Linked DNA regions of Saccharomyces cerevisiae S288C. Changing the gene in region 2 together with the main gene of any one other region gives a genetic interaction. Each region holds a gene or a part of one and is shown on either strand. Other genes may lie near its edges.

Region 1 (5,897 bases), on a different chromosome or scaffold from region 2:
TAACAAGGGAAATGGGAAGTCGGTTAAGAAGCCGAGGTTGGATAAGGAGAATAAGTTCAAGGATGAAAATTTTGATATCGCCGTGCGATCAAGAAATACTTCTTCTACAGACAGCTCGCCGAAATTACACACCAACTTATCACAAGAATATATTGGAGTTTCTGCCGGCAAAAGTGCAAGCGATAAAGAAGATACTTGGCCTGACTTTGTTCCTATTGACAGGACAGTGCTTGAAAAAATTGAACTCAACCATACGAAGGTTGCTGGGAAAGTTTTTGTTTTGGAAGAGATTTGTAAAAACATGAAGGGAACAATAGAGAAGCTAGCTGAAAAAAGCAAAATTGACGTCATTGATAAAGAATACATGAAAAGGCCTAAAAGAAAGCAATATTCAAAGGCCTTGTTAACAAAACAAAAAATGTTTCATTTTCGACAAAATGTTTTATCACATTTAACTGACGAAGAATTTCTTTCGCCCATTAATGAAATGTTTACTACTACTTTCAAATATTCTATTTTACAGACCAAGCTGGTCCTGGACTTCTCTTTCCGATCCGCATCATCACCATCTAGTGATAATATTTTGTATCCTCTGCCCCGTTTAGCAATTGCAAAGCGTTTGCTCAAAAATATAAAATGTCCATCATTAGCCTCTCTTCTCCACATAGTGGATGTAGATCAATGTTTGCAATTTGCCGACGTGCACTTTGATCCTGCTAAAGGAAGATTGACATCATCACAGGCATTTTTGCTAAATATCTGCCTCTGCCTTGGGGCCACCGTTACAAATTTTGAGGAGAAGCAGGAGCTAGTTGATGAAGATAATCATGAAACCTATTATTTTGAGAAGTTCGAATTATGGAGACTCAGATCTTTCACTTTTCTCAATTCTGTCTATTACTACCATAAACTGTCTGTAGCACGCGCAGATATGACGGCATTAAAGGCATTACTGTTACTGGCAAAGTTTGCCCAACAAAAAATAAGTGCTTCATCAGCGGTCAAAGTACTATCCGTTGCTATCAAAGTGGCTTTGGATTTACGGCTCAATTTACATTCCACCTATGAGGATCTAGAACTTGATGAAATCATTAAAAGAAGACGCTTGTGGTGTTATTGTTTTTCAACAGACAAATTCTTTTCTGTGGTGTTGTCAAGACCGCCCTTTCTCAAGGAGGAAAACACTGATGTATTAACAGATGAAAGCTATGTTGAACTATTCAGAGATAAAATTCTGCCCAATCTTTCTATAAAATACGATGATTCAAAACTAGAAGGGGTGAAAGATATTGTATCCGTTGTAAACTTACTCGCGAATCACCTTGAATATGTACCATACATTCAATCATATTTTTTGTCGAGATTATCCCTCATAGAGTCTCAAATATATTACTCATGTTTTTCCATCAGAACAACTTTAGACGATACACTAGATGAAATCATTGAAAATGTACTGGAAAATCAAAAGGCGTTAGATAGAATGCGAGACGATTTGCCCACCATATTATCATTAGAAAATTACAAGGAAAACATGAGGATTTTATCTTTGGATTCTTCGAAGTTAGATTTTGAAGTGAGTTGTTGTACTACTATTCTATTACACCTCAGATGGTACCATCAAAAGATAACCCTGAGTTTATTTGTCATATCCATCATTGGAGATAACTTAGATCAACGGGAAAGTTCCCGGCATGATATAGCTGAAATTATTAGAAGGTCAAGATTGGATTTCAAGCGAAATTGCATCGAAGTACTTAATATTTTGAAAGATTTTGAATACTACCCTACTGTTCAGAATGAGTTTCTGTATTTTTCTCTCACAACGGTTTTTTCCATGTTTCTGTATTTGTCAGAGATTATGGTTAATGACGAACATGCCATGGAGACTGGTTATATAATTGGATTATTGAGGGATACACATACCCGTATGCTTGGATCTGAAGAACGCTGTCTTTCAGTACACAATCTGAAGTGGCAAACATCTCTTTTTTTTTACACTTTTTTTCTACGGAGTACGATGGAAAAGTTCAATCTGACAAGTAAATACGCAAAATTCTATGCCTTTGATTCAAATTATTATGAGGGTGTTCTCAATAGGTTAGTTAAGCATACGAGAGAATCAAAAGATGATATGGTCGAGCTCTTGAAAACTTCGTTCATAAATAAAGAGAAGATGGCTGCATTTGGTAGTTTCGTTACAGAGGACCAAGAAAAAATGGAAGTGTCCTTCAATATTTTCAATGAAATAACAATCCAGGATTTGAACTTCTTGCAATTTTCAAGCATTCCGAAATTGTGGGAAAATAAAACTCTTGAGCCAGGCGAGGAATATCATCATAGTAATGGTACCAATACTGATAATAACGAGACTACTGGCGCTGATGATACTGACGATAATAATAATAATAATAATAATAATAATAAAAATGGCAATAATAGTAGTAGTACTATTAATAATAATAACAATAACTACAGTAACAGTAACAATAATGACAATGACAACAATATTAATGATGATGATGATGATGATGATGATGATGATGATGATGATGATGATGATGATGATGATGATGACAATGATGATGATTATAGTAATAATGGTGCTGATGATGATGAAGAAGACGATGACTATGACAGATCTTTATTTCCAACAGGTTTAGCTTCGCTGCTTGATGCGTCATATCCTGAACGTACGGCGAATGATTATAGAGATGAGAATGAACAATCGAATAAATTATTCGAAAAGATTGAAGGCCATTTGGAGCACGGTGTTTTTTTTTACGATCGGGATTTCTTCTTCAAGAATGTGTGTGTAAAAATGTAATATTATATAAAGGACATTCGAGTAATTTAACTAATACATATGCATACGCGCGCGTATGTATTTCAGATACTTAAAAACTTCAAATCACGTATGAAAAACATATTGTTTACTTGAGGCGATTACACAATATCTTGTTTTTGACAAGATTAAGAAGCGAACTAAATAAAGTGAAAATAAAGTCGTTGTCTTAATACTTTAAATTGTCCAAGTTTGGTCCGTTACCAGTAAACTCTGGAAGGATGGCTGCAAATGGCTCATCGATGAATCTCACTGGGTATTTTTCACCGAAGTCGTTCAACTCTTGTAATTCATCCTTTGTCAAAGATGCGAATTCAATACTCGAGGAAATCCTAACTGGATTCAAGGATCTCGGAATTACGATAGTGCCTTGTCTAATATGGTAAGAAATTAGCAAGTCATTTCCTGTGACATTGTACTTTTCGGCAAGCTTTTTCACTAGTGGGATTTTCAAGTTTGGTGCGCCATGGGAACCTAATGGTGAGTATGCTGTTAACAGAATGTCGTGCATAAAGCAGAACTTTCTTAGTTCCATTTGTGGTAAGTGAGGGTGAGTTTCCACTTGGTTCACCGTTGGCTTAACTCTGCATTCCTTAATGAGACGTTCCAAATACTCAATGGAAAAATTTGAGACACCAATGGCTCTCACACGATGATCGTTAGGATCAAGGTAAATTTTTTCCAATTGCTTGTAAGTTTCTAAATAGTCACCGTCGGCAGCATACATTGTTTTTCCAGAATCATCAACCGGAGTCTTCACCAGTCCGCTGATCCCCTTAGGGTCCTTAATCTTTTCAAAACATAGCGGCCAATGTTGCAAGAGCAAGTCGACGTATTCCAAGCCTAAAGCTTTCAAAGATTCATTCAATGATCTGTCCACTTCGTCCCATAGAACCGGCCACACTTTTGTGGTTATGAAAAGATCCTCCCTTTTGATAGATCCATCTTCTAATAACTCCTTGATGGCTTCACCTACGAATGGCTCTGTCTCGTAGGCCCAAGCAGTATCAATGTGCCTGTATCCAGCTTTGATTGCAGCTTTTACGGCTTGTTTTGTTTCAGCTAACTTTTCGTGAGGATTTGCTGTCCCCAAACCCAGTGCTGGGATACGAACACCATTGTTGAGTGAAAAGTATATTTCTGTAGTCTTTGGATGCAACATATTTTCGACTATGTTTTCGGTTGAGGCTACTGAAGAAGACATGATAGCAGTTGATTAAAATCAAGACGCTTTTATCAATTGAAGGCGGAGATAGTGCAAATAAGTCCAGATGCTTGATATCCCCCTCTTTCCTTTTTACCCCTGTATTACGAGGCTCACTTTATATATTATAATTTTTCCAGGCGGAGGTAAGGGTAGAGCGGCTTTTGGTGGATTTATAATCGGCAATAAACGAGTTTTTAAGCGATCTATAATATTTTTATTGAGTGATAGTTAGATACTTAATGATTATATACTAGTAGCATTTTCAGTAAACGAAATTGTTAAGATGTTAAGGTGGAGGCGCCATTCTTGCTGTCTTTTATCAACTTTGTACTCTCTTTTTTCTTCAAATGTTGCATCAGTGTTTTGATATAGTTATCCTTATCTTGTAGCATCATTCTTAACCCACCTATTGTTTCCTTCTGGAAATTGGCAGATCTCTCGTAGAACCTGAAGTTCATTGTCAGTTGGTCGATTAAGGAGAAGTTGATGTTTGCGAACAGAGGGCCCAATTGCCTCTTGAAGCTGTTTTCTTGTAAACGAAATGAGGAGTCTTCGAAACAATTTTTCATGTTTAGCGCACTACAGCAGGTTTCAATCTTTATAATATTATCGTCGTTTTCCTTCAAATCATTGCCATAAACATTGTGGAATTGCAAAACCTCGCTGAGGCTTTTCAGTAATGTCAAAAACTGGTCGATAGTATATCTATTCAAGTCTAATCTAACGCTGTCAGCCCTTACCTGTTTTTTTTTTTTTTCAAGAGATTTTTCTAAGCCAAATATTCTCTTTTCCAAGTGTTTTAATCTATTTTCATTGTTTCTCGTTTCTCTTGGAAGATATTTCGAGGGTTTGAATGTGGATTGCTGTAATTTTTTTGAAGTTTCGTTGACGTTCAGTTCTAAAATGCCAGGACCCATATTGGATTTGGTAATCTCCTCATTTTCGTTTTCATCCGTAGATATGTACTCATTTGTTTTATTATTCGTACTTTTTTTTTTCAATTTGTTCATTTCCAATATAAGATCATTGTTTTTTTTACTAATGGATTCAAGGTTGTCTTTCAATGAGTTAATTTCCTGCTTATGTTGGAGATTTTCTTGCTTTAATGTTGACAAGTTCAAATTCTCCAATTTTAACTTTTCCAACTCATCTTGCTTCTCTTGTGCGTGCATTCTACCCTTTGAAATGTGGTTAGTAATACTTTCTATAACGTGGTCGCTCAATTGGTCGAGCTCTTCCTCCCAAGATACGTTTTGTTTCCCCCCTGAAGTCAAATCAATATCAATGTTCATAGTAGCCAATTTTTTGTTCAGATAGTCAATCACATGTCTCCCACCTTTGTGAAAATCATTTTCTACTGTTATATTAGGCTGAGATGTAAATGTGTTTGGTGTCTGAAACACAAATTTGTAAGGACCTTCAAGAACATTCTCCGGTGGAGTAGCAGGAGAAAATTCATCGTCACTGTCGTCGCTATACTCTTCAAAACTTTTTTCATATTCCTTTTTCAGACCTTTATTCTTAGCGCCTTTAGTCAAGCATTGATCCTTGGAAGGTATTTTCTCGGGACTTTTTGATTGCATAACATGTGAGTTAGCATCAGTGAAATGAGACTCATTCTCATCATCAGAAGAAAGTTCAACGGGCAATAGTAAGTTATTTTCATTCCTGAATTCTTTCACGTCATTTGCACTCTTGAAAATACTGTTTCTGATTTTTTTTGTGAAACTTCCTTTTTGGATGTCATGGGAATTTTCCTTTTTTGCACACTTATTGCTAGTTTTCTTCCAAACTAACGCATCATCTTCATCTTCCAACACAGACTCGTCCTTATTTGAGTTTGTTTGT
Region 2 (8,035 bases):
TAGTTACAAATCAACCTGTCAACAAAGAATGAGGAAATTTAAATATATATATATATTTCGGTGTGCGTTTGTGTGGAGATAAATGACTTCCCTTGACAAATTTAAAAGAAATCTCTTTTTAGAAGCATTGTATTGTAATTCCGGGTCAACAAAGTGAATTCATGATAATTTTGGCATTGTAATTTTAGCCATGTAGGGCGTAAAGGTCGAATCTTTAAATTATACCGATATCTTTATCTTGTAATGTTGACGGAAAGAGGGCAGAAAGCCATATGGCTAGGTTAGTTCCAAGAGAAGAGAGCTTCTCACAAAATTCTGCAAAAGCAGTAAGAGGAGAGTTGCTGCTTCATCAAACAAACGTGCGCTGTTTGACTTTCACATGACGACAAGGAGATAAAATATCGCGTGTTATACAGGAATAGCTGCTTTGGCAGGGAGTCAAGCCCGACTCCTAAAGAGTCTCTTCGCGGTATCTTCCTTATTCGAAGACAAGGAATATAGAGCAATGAATCTTCGGTGCTTGGATATGATGTTGTTACTGTTACGATATCTTAAATTCGGGATTAGAATTCTGGATGATAAATGGACCTGTCCTTCAGAATAGCAAAAAAGAGAATCGAGACAACGACAGGAAATACATTGTTTTAAGAACGATAGGAGATTCATGTCTATAAATTGCCTAGATTTTTCCAAGGTACTGCGTAATGTTTCTTCTGTTGGCAGCAGATCGTAAATGACATCGTAGTATAAACCGACAACGCTTGATCTATATGTAAAACCTGACGCAGTTTGATCGAAAAATGATGTTGAAGAATTTAAAAGAGTTGAAAAAGTTATCCGTGAAGTTGATATTGGTATGGATCTGTATGAGTCATCGAAGCTAATCAAGTTGGATAATCATTTTGGTATTAAATTGTACATTAAAGAACAAAGTTCGGGATTCAGCTCGCCTTCATTCAAAATTCTTGGGGCGTCTTGAGGTGTATTTTGCTGTTTGATTGGAAGATTTAGCCTGCCATTACCTAAAACTTCCTTGGATACATTGAAGCAAATTGTCAAATTCCAACACCCGTCTTTGATGCTAGCGGCTGTTACAGATGGTAATGATGGTAGAGCAGTTGCATACATGGCAAAAATCCTAGGCTTAAAGTCTACAATATTTACTCCATGGAATGTTCTAGAACAGAGCGTGAGAACATCAGATCAGAAAAGGGAGCAGAAGTTATCAAAATTAAAGGTAACTATGATTATGCAATAAAAAGTTCTTTAGAGTTTTGTAGTAGCGATCCGACAAAAAAATCAACTTATTCAAGATTTTTCATTCATAGGTTATGATGAAATTCCTAACTGGATTTCTTATGGTTACACTACCTTGTGTAGCGAAATACCATTCGATCCTGCGGTAATATTTGTCCCTTGTGGGGCTGATTCTTTTGCTCAAGGAGTGATAACATATTACAGGTCGCATAAATCGAATACGAAAGTCTTCTCGGTTGAACCAGATACCGCTTACACTGTCAATAAGTCATTGGTGTTACAAAAGGCTTCATCTGATCTAGGAACCTCTAGAACAATCATGGATGAGTTGAACTGTCCGAGGATTTCAGCAACAGCATTTCTTCTACTACAGAAAGGGGCCATCTATTTCCTGTTTAGTTTCCGATGAAGATTGTATGCAAGCAATTAAAACACTAGGCTCGCTAGGAGTAAATTCAAGTCCATGCGGAGCTGTTACGTAAGCCACGTTTATTAGATTCATTGATAAACTGAAAAACATGGGTGAGTTAAAAGTAGGTGGTAAATTTGTGTTGTTGTCTACGGAAGCTATAGGTTATCAAGGAATCTTTAACTATGGGTATTGCTGACGGCTTTGTATCGGGCTTTTGAAAAATACGATATTTCAGAGCCATATGCGCAAAAATATATGTACAACTTCTACTTTGTTGTTTCAAAATTATCCAACTAGTTGTTTTGTAGTTGAAAAAAAACGAGTATTAGCGTTCTTCTTGGCCCTTATCTTATTCTTTATTTTGCCAGCTAAGGTTATTTAAGTTGAAAGATATACATAACGTCATATAAAGTAATCTCTTTTTCAAAATGTTAATTGAAGCGATACACAGACGATGATGAATAAAATCATGTGAGTATAATTTTCCTTATAACCTTTTTTACACGACAAAACCACCGATGATGTTCTGACCTACACTTTCATAATTGCATCCGTTCACCGAGATGCATAGCACCATACGTACTTAGAGTAACCATAGCTATTTACAATAGGTAACAATATACATAGTCTATGGTAGCAGAGTGCGTACGGGCTCTTCGGTTACTGACGTAATCATATTATTTCTTAAACACCAGTGGTTATTTTGCTGCATCTCTATTACGGTATTCTTTTTATTGCTAGCATTTAGCCGCGGAGTGAGATCACATGTCATATTGATATGCCTTTCTCTACTGAATGAAATCGAACTAAAAAATCTGTAGTGTCAAGCTCAAGCCTGGTTCACAAATATTATATTCAGGAACGCAAGTAGATAAAGCAGAATCATTTCCGCTGAATAAGTACGATATACGTTTTTTCTATCTTTATACAATACAAAATTATTACTTTTCTAAATACAATGACTTCATTATGCAGTGTCATTGAAATGCATTCACAATATGGTAAGCCTCTTTATTACAATCAGACATACAGAAAAAAGAAAGATTATCTGCTTCATCATCCATAATATGATACAGCTAGAAAATTGAACCATATATTAACTGGGCAAACATTGGCTACTAGATGGTTGTCTACTCCAGCCTGCCTAAGACAAGCTATAGTCAAAAATTTCATTCATTTCTCAAACAACATTGCTTGGAAATCCAAAAAAAAAAGGAAAAAAAATCAGATTTGTAAAGGATTCAAAGAAATTTCTTCTGCGAGACGTTCAAAGCCTAACTCAAAATCCCTTTTTAAATCTTCAAATTCTTCGAGACCCACTTGTATTCTTAGTGCAAAACCTTTGTAAGGCCATGTTGAAGCTTTTCTAGCCACCCCATGAAAATCCCAATTGCAAAACTTTCATCCCTTCTACCATTTTCTCCAGACCAGCTCTTGTGAACCCATTTTTAAGGACAATGGAAAATAAGCCTGAAGAACCTTTGTAGTCACGAACCCAGTATTCATGTCCGGGACAATCTTCAAAGGCGGGGTGAAGCACTTTTTCAACCTCATCTCGATTTCCGAGCCAAGCAGCCAAATCCAGGGCTTTTCTTTCTACCTCTTTCAATCTTAAGTGCAATGTACGCATTCCTCGCAATGCTAATTGACAGTCCTCGGCACCTGGTAACATTGCCATTGCATCATAAGTTGACCGTAATAGCGGCCAACATTCTTCATTTGCGGAGGCCAGACCAATAAGAAGATCTGAATGACCACCCAAATATTTTGTCCCAGCTTCTACCGAAATATCGATACCATGCGCATGAGCATCAAAAAAGAGTGGCGTTGCCCATGTGTTGTCTAGAATTGTCTTTATCCCATGCTTTTTGGCAACAGAGACCAAAGCTGGAATATCCTGTACTTCCATGGTCCCAGAACCCGGGCTTTCGAGGAAAATGACGGTTGTATTTGGCTTAACTAGTTTTTCTATATCCTTCCCTATTGATGGGTCATAATAATCCGTTTCAACACCGAACTTGGCCAATAAACCATCACATAGCATACGTGTTGGCACGTAGACACTATCAGTCATCAAGATATGATCACCAGCTTTCGAAAGGGCCAATAGCGCCAAAGAGATAGAACCAAGCCCAGAAGCTGATAGCACTGTCCCAGCACCGCCGGTTAAATGCGTCCAGGCATTTTCTAAATTGTCAATAGTTGGAGAACCTGCTGTCCCGTAAAATCTTCCTTTCCTTTGTTCTAAATCACTAAGTTTTTTAAGAATGATGGTTGACCCCTTATACAAAGGTGGATTAACAAAGCCACTTTGTTCATCTGGATTACGTCCAATAACAGACAGTTGCGTAGTAATACCAAACTTCGATAACTCGGTACGATCAATCATTGTAGTGAATATTTTGGTTTTTGCTGGAATTTTATATTCACAGTTTCGAAACACGTTAAGTATTTTTTCATTGTGGTGTCCCAACACTAGAGCAGTCTTTCTTTTTATATGTCCTTGTCTTCTATATTTTTATCAAGGAATATTTAGCACTGATGAGCAAATTGGCACTTTCAACATTATTTGGATGCTACGGCGCCTTACAATTGAGTTGATTATACGGAATTTGAATGCCGAAAAAGAACGTTAAAAAAATATACTCAAAACAAGAGGCGACAATAAAATCGTTATCAATTTTTTTATCACTTTATGAATGTTAGATACGGATTGAAAAAAAATGCTTATCTTTCCGATCTTGATTGCCTTTTTTATTTTCGAGAATAATTCTTTTTTTCAGGTTCATGGCACATTTTTCAGGAAAACTTGGGTTCACCTCGAGCGTGAATATGGTGTGCTAAACTTTAAAAATTTCAGAACAAAGAGACTCTCCAGTTTCATCAGGAGCCTTTTGGAGTAAAAGGACGTTCACTCTTGCCAAGTAAAAAAAACGGTTATGCCATAATCTTAATCAAGCTACACGCAACATTCAAGAGACCAGTGGCTGAGTCACAATATTCTCGGAAGCTAAATCTTAAATCCGGGCTGGTGTAAGTTGTTGGTGAGTAATGGTGGAAAGTTTGGAACTTTTCTCATACGACAATTTTTGAACACGCAATGCCTATGTATACGCCTTGCGCCTAATAGTGCTCCCTATGTGTCGATCTGACCCATAGTATCGCAGTTTCTAATTTTGTGATAGAGGTTCTGGTTATAAGCAAGAAAAGTTTATACTGCTGGGCGCCGCCTAGCATCATTGTCTGCTTTCCAAAGGCATGGAAGGCGGCGGCAGTGTAATATTACCGCGTTATCGCAGACCTAGGGAGAATGTAATTTCTCACGTGTTCCTTTAGCAGCATATTTTTTACTTTTTAAAATAGAAAACAATGAGCCGGCATACCTATGACCTGCGCTCCACCTCATATGGAAACTGAAAGTACGTTTTTTTCTCTCTATATAACACAACTCAGCATCTTAGTCTTTAAAAATGGTTATTCATGGAATGATCAATAATGCACTTAACTGGTGAGGCTACTTTAAGGTCAATTAAGTTAGTAACGTTTCTTTTCATGTTTTCACTCGCCCTCTCTTTTAAATGATTCTTTTGTACTCTATAATTCATTAAAAGATGTTCCTCTTCTTTTTATTCGGAGATATTTTGGTAAATTTACTACAGTTTCCTTTCAGAAGATAGCGATGCCGTACGGCACAGGCGGTGTACATCTATGAGAAATTTGCAGATTAGCCTAGGCCTCTATTGCACTTATGTATATATATCTGACGTGAAAGTTCAGCGCAACAAGGAATGAAGGCAACGTGTCATTCAAATACAGTGGGAAGTCTACACTAATAGCTATGCGGTTTAAATTGCTTAGAATCCATAGCATTGTGGCACTATTAACGAGAGGTAGAGATTGGTATTGAAGGTACACATAACTCGATACTTTCCACCTTTCTCATCAGGAAATATTATTATTACTGTATATACTTTTATGCAAATCCAATTGCCCTGTTAAAAGTCACTATGGGTTGCCGGTATCAATTCTAGTATACACATGGTAATAAATCCGTAGAAGGGCCGACATGTACTACATTCTGTATATATCTCAAGCGTTAAGTGATATAACGATCGTGTTCTTATTTCGCATAAAGTTGTCAAGACCATGAGACAGGTCCTATAGAGGTAGTTTTGTTGATATTTGGGTATTTTCTCTTTTTCAAATCTTTTACCTTTATTTTGCATATTGTACATTCTCATAATAGGGACAAGAATATCCCAAGACAGAAATACGAAGCTAGCAGGTAAAGTACATAAAAACTTACACTAGCGTCAAGAATAACGTGCATTTAATTTTTTTTTTTTTTGGAACTCCTATATACGTAGACTAGAATATGCATAAAGAACTTTAAATATCTAGAACTCACGTTATGATATATTCTTACAGGCCATAAAAAAAATCAAGTCTTGTTTGTATAATCATTAGTTACCGGTGTAAGAAATTGCTGTATTTGTCATATTTGTTAGCTGCTTCCCTTCATTAAGCGATAATATTTCGGACATTATAACGGCATCATTGGCTATGATATACACGAAATACAACCAGCTTCGGTAAAGTATGTATTATTTAGTGATACAGGGCAAAACATGCATGAGAATATGAAGATTTTATTGTGTTGGTAAATTTGAAAGTATTCATATAGAGTATGATTAGGGGTTATTAACATATAAACACCAATGCAAAGCGCCATACAAGTCAGAATATGTCGATTTTTTAAATTAGAGCATTATTCCGCGGACAACACGCAATTAGAGAGACACAGTCTGATAATAAAGTACAAGAAGGGCACACTCCGGTAGTAGAATTCTTTCTTTGCGCGTGAAATATTTGAAACTAATCATTGTATGCCATTCGTTTTCTTATTATCATATATATTTTTCGGTCGCTAAGTTTCCGTCAAAAAAATTTGACTCAATAGTCATCTCCTCTTTCCTTTTTCGAAACTATCAGAAGTGACCATTACTACTAAGATTTGTAATTTAAGATTAAATAAATTCTTCCAGAAAATTTTTCTTGCATGATTGTGCATACGCTTCTCTCGACTGTTTGTTTGGTCTCCTTGTAATATTACGATTATTTTTACTTCCGTTTTATATGTTTCATTATCCTATTACATCACCAACCCTTGAATTTCGCTTCCATTAGATTTGATGACTGTTTCTCATACCTAATGTCATTTTCTTACACTGTATGTGATAATGTACTAGTAACACGATACTACTAAACAGATGATATTTTAGAGTTTCATTCCAACAACTTCAATGCTTCCAATTTATTTCCCCTCATGATAAAACAAGATCTCAGCTTCATTGTATTTGCCTTCTTTTTTTCTTCGAAGCCATTACGTGCGCATTGACGCTGCACTGTCCAAAAAAAACCTTAATTCTAATTTGATTGATTTTCCTTTCCCTTGTTTTTTGCAACTCCATGTATTAATAAAAGAAAAGCCAGGGTATCTTCTGTGAGTAAACTAACGTTTCATACCTTCTGTACGTATTAAGAAATATAATTTCTTCTGTAGCTTGGCATATACTGCAACAAGTCCGTAATTTGTCTTCTATTTGAACTTCTAGCAGCTGAAGATTCTACAAAAGTTTTTCTTTTGCCTTTCGGAATTACGCTTTTGAGGTAAGTAGGTTTCTATGTAAGTGACCTTATTCAGATTCAGAAGAACACTTTGTAGTTTAAAGCTTCTTTTAAAATTTCTAATGCCACTAAACTCTCTATCGGTTGCGCCATAGTCGAGTTTTATTTTACCATTACGTTTTTCTTCCTTTCTTTTTCAATTCAACCAATAAAGCCTCCTGCAACTTTCCTGTATTTCAAAGTTTCGATGTAGGCTTGGTGGTGAACATCAAGATGAGTGAATTGAAAATAAAAATCTCAATCAAACCCATTGAAGCTTTTGCAATTCTAATTAAACGTGCACAGATCTTTTCCATCACGCTAACACATGATAAAAACTTCGTGTAGATCTTTTCGATGAAGAAATCAAATATTGAGAAGAGTGCGTATATAATCAATTAAGAAAAGTAACAAAGGTTGACGTGACTTTACTATAAGTGTATAATACCACTTAGACCGGAATGTCATCTTCCCGGTACTATTGATTGAAGTTTTTGCCTACTGAGTCTGTTTTAATCTTGAACAGCCAAAAATAATCCAATTGTCAATGAGCAGGTTGATTTTTATTACGCTAGTCTTGATGGACATTGTTTTGGCTTTAGACATCATAGAAAAGAGCAAAACAGTTACTGTCTCGACGAATTACCATGAAAAGCTCACCATCGAAAAAGATGTTTATTTAAGTCTCGTAGGTAGCTT
Region 3 (8,646 bases), on a different chromosome or scaffold from region 2:
GATCCCTTGCATTTAAAGGACCGTTATTTGCCGACTACGGACAGAGAAGTTAAATCTGAAAAGAAATGAAAGAAGTGTACAATGACAACAAAAACGATGAAGTAACGTCTTTTTTTTTTTTTGATTACTCCCAAATTCAGTTCCCCCGTTCTTGAATTGGACTACCGATGTTTATGAGCTGGGCATTTTCTCAGGAATTATATAGTATGTTAAGTGTGTAACAAATTGAGATGAATATATACGTGCTGGCTTACGCATTATGAAACACACTAGTAGAATAAGTGTTTCGGATGGGAAGTTTATTGATACTAAACCTAACGTGTCTTCCAAACGAACAAATAATAATGTAGGTTTCAAATTATATCAGCGACTAACTTCGGCGGCTATATGGACAGTCACTAAAGTGTTTTGAAGATGTTTTCTTTCTGTGGTCACGACGGTAGCCTCAACTGCCTAGAAATTTACAAAACAAAATAGTTTACAAAATTAAAGCACTTTTCAAGCGCCGTGCATATTAGTTTTTGTGGTACTGAAAGTTCGGTTACATGATGTGCGGCAAACAACTTTTTGATGTTGGCTAGCAGATCGAGATTCTGTTGATGATGGCAACGTTGAAAAAGCGTTGATCACAAGAATTAGAAAGTACTAATTTTCCATTACTTCTAACTAAAGAGGGAATTACCATTAGTGTAATTCACAAACATTTGTAAAAAAACAATCATCATAACGTACTATTCATAAACATATAAAGCGCCAGATAAAAAGAAATGGTTGGTATTTACAGAATACTTGCTTCGTTCGTCCCACTCCTGGGTCTTCTTTTTGCATTCCATGATGATGACATGATAGATACTGTTACAATCATCAAAACTGTATATGAAACGGTGACATCAACTTCTACTGCACCTGCACCTGCCGCTACAAAATCTGTTAGTGAAAAGAAACTGGATGACACTAAACTAACACTTCAAGTAATTCAAACTATGGTATCATGTTTTTCTGTAGGTGAAAATCCGGCCAATATGATATCCTGTGGGCTAGGAGTTGTAATCTTAATGTTTTCATTAATCATCGAGCTTATCAACAAGCTCGAAAATGATGGTATCAATGAACCGCAAAGGTTATATGACCTAATTAAACCAAAATACGTCGAGCTACCTTCAAATTATGTGAATGAAAAAATCAAAACAACATTTGAACCTCTCGACCTATACTTAGGAGTAAATATGAATACTTCAGGAAGTGAACTAAACCAAAACTGTTTGATTCTCAAACTTGGCGAGAAGACGGCTCTGCCTTTCCCAGGCTTGGCCCAGCAGATTTGTTATACAAAAGGCGCTTCAAATGAGTTCACAAATTATAAATTATCGGACATACAGGGCAATTTAAACGAAAACAGCCAAGGAATTGCTAATGGCGTTTTCCAGAAAATATCAAACATTAGAAAAATATCAGGTAATTTTAAGTCTCAGCTTTATCAAATTTCAGAAAAAATCACCGACGAAAATTGGGACGGTTCTGCTGTAGGCTTCACTGCTCATGGGAGAGAAAAAGGCCCAAACAAATCTCAAATATCGGTTTCATTTTATAGGGATAATTAAAATAATTCTCTAAACTTTGCTATACCTTATTCGTTGTTGATAAGTACACTTGTCCCATTTCCAGAAATTTAATTATTCAAGTCTTTAGCTTCGATAGACGATGTACTTGAAAAATTTATAATCGATATAATTTTCTCTTCTGATTTTTTCACTCTTTTTTTTTTTTTTTGTACTATAGTAGGATACTCAGGGAAAAAGAAACCACTGCCTTTGAACAATGTTGCGAAACCAATTGATTAGTGGGCTACAAGAGTGTAAATAATGAAGATCTTTCATTTTTTGTAGGAATGCGTTTACTCTGGCGTATCTTTTGTAAAGGTTTGTTTCACCGAGAAAGGAAAAAGCTCGGCAATTGGTTTAATCTTGGTTGGATTGTAAAAAAATACATTAAAATTTAGGTTCTACCCCGCAGTGTTTGCTTAATTTACATAGGACCCTTTTCCTGCCGTTTTTGTTTTGTAAGGGTGAGGAAAAACTGGGGACGATGAAGAGCAAAAAAGAAACGAACATATTTGTGAATACATTATACACCTGAAGTAATAAATTTGTGGGGGACGTCATTTAAAGCCAAAATACTTCTTAACACACAATTACTATAAACTATTCCTGTAGATTAGCCCACCCCACCTTGAGAAAACCTTCAGGATACCAAATGGCAGGACCCAACTAACACAAACTCATTTTCTTCAATTTATACAAAGTACGTTTTTCTTTCGTGAATAGTATATAGAGCTTTAAATATTTGCCTAGTAGGCTTCTGTATTTTCAGATTGGCGCTACATCAAGTTACCTCTAATGTATTGAATCTAGAATATAAAAATGTATGCAAACATTATCGTTGCAAATTTAATTTAAGTTGCGAGAAATTTAGGAATATTTCTGTTCAAACCCTACTGACGAGAGAAGAGCCAATATCAAATCTGGTGGTAATCCCGATGGAATCAGAATCGTCTAGTAGGAATTTGAAGTCTATTTTTTTAATATGGACTCATACAAAAAATTAGAAAAGGCGCCAATTAAAAATGTGCAATCAATGTAATGAAAGAACTGATCTCAATGGCAGGAAGATCAAATTGGTAGGTAGATCATGTCTATATAATGCATGTGAAAATTTTATAGAAAACTGTTGTGGGCTCTGGAAAACAGGCTGCTAAACAGTACTTAGTGGAATTAAAGTACGCTGGTGCAAAAGACCAATTTCAAGGTCACTACTATATAAGGTGCAAAAAAAGCTTGTAGTAAAAATTATTGCTCCTAAATGTCACCCTATAGAAAAAAAAAAGCTTTTATATAAGCATGCATGATATTTTCAATATAGTGCCTTTAAAATATATATCCTACGAAAAAATTGGTAACTTTTATCCAAACTTATAATATTAAAAAAAGCGCTACTTATATGCATCATTTCATTTAATCATTGAGAACAATTTCCTTGATTGTAGCTCCTTTGTTATCATCATCATAATCATCATACACTCCTTGTACTGCCACAACTATGTATCTTGTTTTCCTCCAATCTGTGTTCCCTTTATCACCCACCTGCAATTTATCATAATCAATAGTGAAAGTCGTTCTATTACTGGGTAATATCTCGATTAACGACTGGTTGCGACTTGCTTCGTAGTATGGCTCACTTGGGCTCACTGGCACGTTATCCAGAATTTTCACAAATTTTCTTTTTAGAAAGTTAAGTCTGGGTATTTGTTCAATTAGCTTGGCTAAGTCTTCCTTCTTCCAGTGCAATAAGGCTTGCACATCATCCAAAGATTCATCATCCTCTTGTTCTATGCCATCAAAATCAATAACGTTCTCGACAGGAATTCCGGCATTATCTAAAAGCTGACCAATGGTTTCATTAAGAAGTTGATCATTTCCCGAATTTTGCATAATTTCTGTCACGTTCGCAAATAAATTTTCGACTTTTTCAGAATGAGGCAAAATAGATATGGAAATGTTTTTTGCGGGCCTCTGCCCCCAAAGAATCATTCCCTTGGTAATCTCTTTCTCGTTGTATTCACCTAAATCAATCAATAGCTTCGCACGGTGAATTTTGTCTAAGGGTTGCCAATGCGTGTAATTATTCCCATCTAGAGCAGAGAATGCAACGTCACCAGGAACGCCGGCCGTCAAGTTTGTTATTTGCTTATTTTCCGCTATGTTGTTTCTTGCGTTTAAGCCAGGCTTGAACAGTTGGACTGTAAGCTCTTGTTTCGGTTTTAAAAGATAATAGGTACCATACCTATCCATCCTCATTGGATCACCAACACGGTCGACGTCTCTACGCTCTAGATTTGGTTTTCTTTCGTTTTCGGAACCATTATAGAAGTTGATATCCTGGTCATGTATTAGAGATCTGTTTGGTATCTTTATATGAATAGGAACATCTCCTGATTTATGAACAATCGTACCATTGTGGTCGTCAATTATTATATCTAAAACTTGGTTCATATATTTGAAGTTTCTAATAGCGATACCACCAGGGAGCAACGGTAGTTCTATTGGATTGAACCTTAACAAACGGTTAATTTTTTTAGTATCTGGATCAACCTCATAAGAATATCGGATTCCTGTTAACCCAAACAGAATGCTCTGTAGAAATCCACCGTTAGCTGTTAAAAAGGGGAATGCTGGCTGGGTTAATCCGTTTGTTAAAAAGTTGTCGTCTGATTGCTCACTAAATTGAGCGAAAGGAGCCCGTAAGTATGGAAGAACCGATTTATATAAGTAACTTTGAGAAGAAGAGCCGTGATTCAGCAGACCAGCAGCTGCGGCCACAAAAACCGGATATGTCATTGCAGGCCCAGACGCAGACTGTCTTTCTGAATAATAATAAAGATCTTTAATTGCATTGTTCAATATGGATTCATCATTGATATATCCAAGTGGGTAAACCATTAAAGTCACATCCGCCTGTTTAATCTCCACTGAGCTATTCATACCAGAATATTCCAAAGTGATGTTAGATGAGGATCTAGGGATATAAATATCTTTGGAAATTTCACTCCATTTGGGGTCAACGACCTCGCCGAGATGATTGCCAATGTCTGTTGCCCACTTTAGAAGTGTTTTAATGCCAGCATTCGTGAAAGCCCCGTTATTGATGTGATTAGCAAACTCGTCGGGATCTGTCAAATTATATGTTTCATACAATCCTAGGGAAGAATTGTACTTAACATAAGCAGTAAAAAATTGGGCTGCGTTTTTGATAATTGGCCATGTAGTATATCTCAGATACTCGTCATCAATCCCTTCGTGTCCATTCAAGTATATGGAAAAGGAGGCCATAGCGACATCAACGTTAATATGGTATTCGTAATCGACACAAGGTCCCGTAGAAGTACAATTAGCGTACTTACCAGATGTCCAGGGGTATATTGCTCCGGGGTATCCATATTTCTCTGCATTTAACTTTGCCTGCGAATGTGTAGCATTTCTGTAATTATTCATATTTTGAGCCACATTTGGGAAGAAAGGCAATAGGGCAGGTTCCATCCATATATCTGCGTCCCAGAACACCATACCACCATAGGAATCTGATGACAAACCAGAAACTCCCACGGGAAGACCCCTATCGCTCGAGACATTGTAATCTCTTGTATTTGCTAGTAAATGGAATAGGGACGATCTTGCTGTCATTTCTAAAAGACTGTCAGAAGGAATTTCAATGAAGGCGTCGTTGTAAAGGTCATACCACGCACGTTTGTGACTTGACAGAAGCTTCTCGTAATTGCCTTTACTGTTTAGAGCTATCATTTTGGCCAAACCAATATTAGTATTGTCTTGTTGTTCTTTGTTCTTATTGAACTCAGTAGACATAATACCAACATACTTATGAACGATTATCTTGGGTTGGTCCTCTGTCAAAATAACATTATAAATATTAGAAGAAACATCTTTTTCTTCAAAAGATTCACTAGAATTTATTGGATTGGTGGAATTTTCATACTTTACAGTACACGTTGAGTAAATAGCGCAATTAGAAGATGGAACGTTATCTGGCTGAACAATCATGAAAACCGCATTATTTTTTTCGTCTGTTCCCGTGCTATGTAGAACAGTCCTATGTGATGTGTTGAAATCAAGTATATCCCATATATTAACATCTAATGAATCAAAATCCGAAGGTAAATGGTCCGTATTCAGGGAAATTTCCAAAGAAACCACTCCCAGTGGATGAATGTGCCGATGTGCCCAGATTTCACTTTTAACATGTATTTGACTGTTTAGCCAATCTAACTCCGTAGTTACGATACCATCCTTCATTGATAAGTTTTGGCTATAATTAGTTACGTCATCCAACGTAACATTTTGTGGATTGAACCACTTAGAATCATTCACTAATGAGAACTGTAGATTGGTCCATTGTGGAATAGATGAAATGACAGTGGAATATCCTACATCATCCAATTCTGGGAAGTTTGTTGAATTTAGTTTTGGTTGTAGACAATAAAAGTCCGATACAAACGCACCGGCAAATCTATGATTTCTTAAGGGCCAACCGTTATTCAAAGCGCCTGGTGCGTCTGTGTAAAAATTCAGGGTGTCTAAGGCATAGCCGAACCCAATATTGGGAATACGACTACCTATATAACCGTTAGCAACATATGGTTGTCTCGAGTATGTATTCTTTGAGAACAAGTTACTTCCCAAAATCATGTTCTCATCATCATAATATGCCGTGTTGAAATCAGAAAGGAGTTCATAAAGTTTTTTAGAAGATTCCCTTGCTTCTGGATCGTAGTTCAACGTATGATTTCCCAATGACGGCGATATCACACCCAGAGGGTTAAATAGGGCAGCCCTCGAGGCATGTGAGTATGTAAGCCTGGAACTCTTTGTTAAATATAATGCAGTGACGAAGATAGCTAATAAAAATAGCATCATCAGTAAAAGTATAGAGTTGATCAAGTCAAACCTTGAGAAAGAACGATAATTTTTAGAGCGAGAGTTATTACCGGTACTATTTTTGTTCCTCAAACTAGGAGAATTGTTAAGGTTTGAATAAGAAGCCTCCGCATTGAACCAAAGCGATCTTATTCTTTTCATTATTGGAATGAGGAAATTTCGGTAAAAACAGATGCAATATTAGGTGATACTAGCAGGCTCTCATAAAGGACTGATGAATCCTTTTTTAAGGAGCAATAAGATTCTTTTTTTTTTTTTTTTTACTTGAAAAAAAGGGAGTGGTAATATGGTGAAAAGTGGAGAAATTTTGTTATTATTATTCAATAACGACAAGAATTCTCTTTCCGAATATAAAAACGGCGCGGCTGTTGGTTTGTCGTGATACGTAGTGCTTGCTTGGACTTGGAAGTAAGACTATACCAAAAAGGAAATAAATTTTGAGGGGCAAAGAAGAGATGCTTGTACTGCCTTGCTGACTCAGATTGTTCGTTGATTTTGCTCAACTTTCCGCTTGCTTAGAGTGAACGTGATAGCTTTACGGCTAGAATCAAGATGAATGTTCCTTTCTTTTTCCGAAGTATTTGCCCTTATTGAAAAAGAATGATAAGGGATATACGAATAGACTGGTAAATATTGTAGATACACTTGTTTTTAGTGAAGCGAGAATAACAAAGCTTCAGCTAGAGACGTGACGGCTGAGAGGTGACCTGAAAGAAAGTAGTTATTGCTGGCTTGAAGAGTGAAATAACCTTGGTACAGACTTTGATAGCACGAACTGTTTGCCATCCAGAGAAGAAAGGGCCTCTCATTTCCTGCGGTATCCCTTCGTTGTTTAAGCCGTTCACAATCCGGGTAATAAATTTGATCTTAACACAGTTTTTATATTAAGAAAGATCTCAAACAAATGAGTGAATATTAAGTTTAAGAGAGGAAAATACTGTGCTGCACAGATATTGATAGAATGACGGATATTCAACTAAATGGAAAGAGTACATTAGATACTCCTTCTGCTACCATGTCAGCAAAAGAAAAAGAGGCAAAATTAAAATCGGCTGATGAGAATAACAAGCCACCGAACTACAAAAGAATTTCTGACGATGATTTATATAGGCACTCTTCTCAGTATAGAATGTGGTCATACACTAAAGATCAACTTCAGGAGAAAAGGGTAGATACCAATGCCCGAGCGATTGCTTACATTGAGGAAAATTTATTAAAATTTAGAGAAGCACACAATTTAACAGAAGAAGAAATAAAAGTACTAGAAGCAAAGGCTATCCCTTTGACAATGGAAGAAGAACTCGATTTGGTGAATTTCTACGCAAAAAAAGTTCAGGTAATAGCACAGCATCTAAATTTGCCAACCGAAGTAGTGGCCACTGCGATATCCTTTTTTAGGCGTTTTTTCTTAGAAAATTCTGTTATGCAAATAGATCCTAAAAGTATTGTACATACTACTATCTTTCTAGCCTGCAAATCGGAGAACTATTTTATTAGCGTGGACTCGTTTGCTCAAAAGGCCAAATCTACTAGAGATAGTGTTCTCAAATTCGAGTTTAAGTTGTTAGAATCATTGAAATTTTCACTGTTGAACCATCATCCTTACAAACCGCTTCATGGGTTTTTCTTAGATATCCAGAACGTCCTTTATGGTAAGGTTGATTTAAATTACATGGGCCAAATATACGATAGGTGTAAGAAGAGAATAACTGCCGCATTATTAACCGATGTCGTATATTTCTACACTCCACCCCAAATAACACTAGCAACATTATTGATTGAGGATGAAGCCTTGGTCACAAGGTATTTAGAAACAAAATTTCCCAGCAGAGAAGGTAGCCAGGAATCAGTACCGGGAAACGAAAAAGAAGAACCACAAAATGATGCCAGTACAACTGAGAAAAACAAAGAGAAGTCCACAGAGAGCGAAGAATATTCGATAGACTCCGCGAAGTTACTAACCATAATACGCGAGTGTAAAAGTATTATTGAAGATTGTAAACCTCCGAGTACTGAAGAGGCCAAGAAAATTGCGGCAAAAAACTATTATTGTCAAAATCCATCAACACTGATTCAGAAATTAAAAAGGAAGTTGAATGGAGAAGATACTTCGTCCACCGTTGAGAAAAAGCAAAAAACA

The links. A genetic interaction does not mean that the proteins touch.
Region 1: mutations in IRC7 (region 2) and ARA1 together harm fitness more than expected from each alone (negative genetic interaction), as found in Saccharomyces cerevisiae (one large-scale study listed by BioGRID).
Region 3: mutations in IRC7 (region 2) and ATH1 together harm fitness more than expected from each alone (negative genetic interaction), as found in Saccharomyces cerevisiae (one large-scale study listed by BioGRID).

Annotation. Positions count from the first base shown.
Region 1 is NC_001134.8:538,136-544,032, reverse strand, and holds ARA1 (D-arabinose 1-dehydrogenase (NAD(P)(+)) ARA1), read right to left. Parts: upstream 4,047-5,897; coding exon 3,012-4,046; downstream 1-3,011. Other genes in the region: TBS1 (Tbs1p), read left to right, coding at 1-2,824; YSW1 (Ysw1p), read right to left, coding at 4,328-5,897. UniProt on the Saccharomyces cerevisiae protein: Catalyzes the oxidation of D-arabinose, L-xylose, L-fucose and L-galactose in the presence of NADP(+).
Region 2 is NC_001138.5:260,227-268,261, reverse strand, and holds IRC7 (cysteine-S-conjugate beta-lyase IRC7), read right to left. Parts: upstream 4,059-8,035; coding exon 3,036-4,058; downstream 1-3,035.
Region 3 is NC_001148.4:613,380-622,025, reverse strand, and holds ATH1 (alpha,alpha-trehalase ATH1), read right to left. Parts: upstream 6,648-8,646; coding exon 3,012-6,647; downstream 1-3,011. Other genes in the region: YPR027C (uncharacterized protein), read left to right, coding at 768-1,601; TFIIH complex kinase subunit CCL1, read left to right, coding at 7,468-8,646.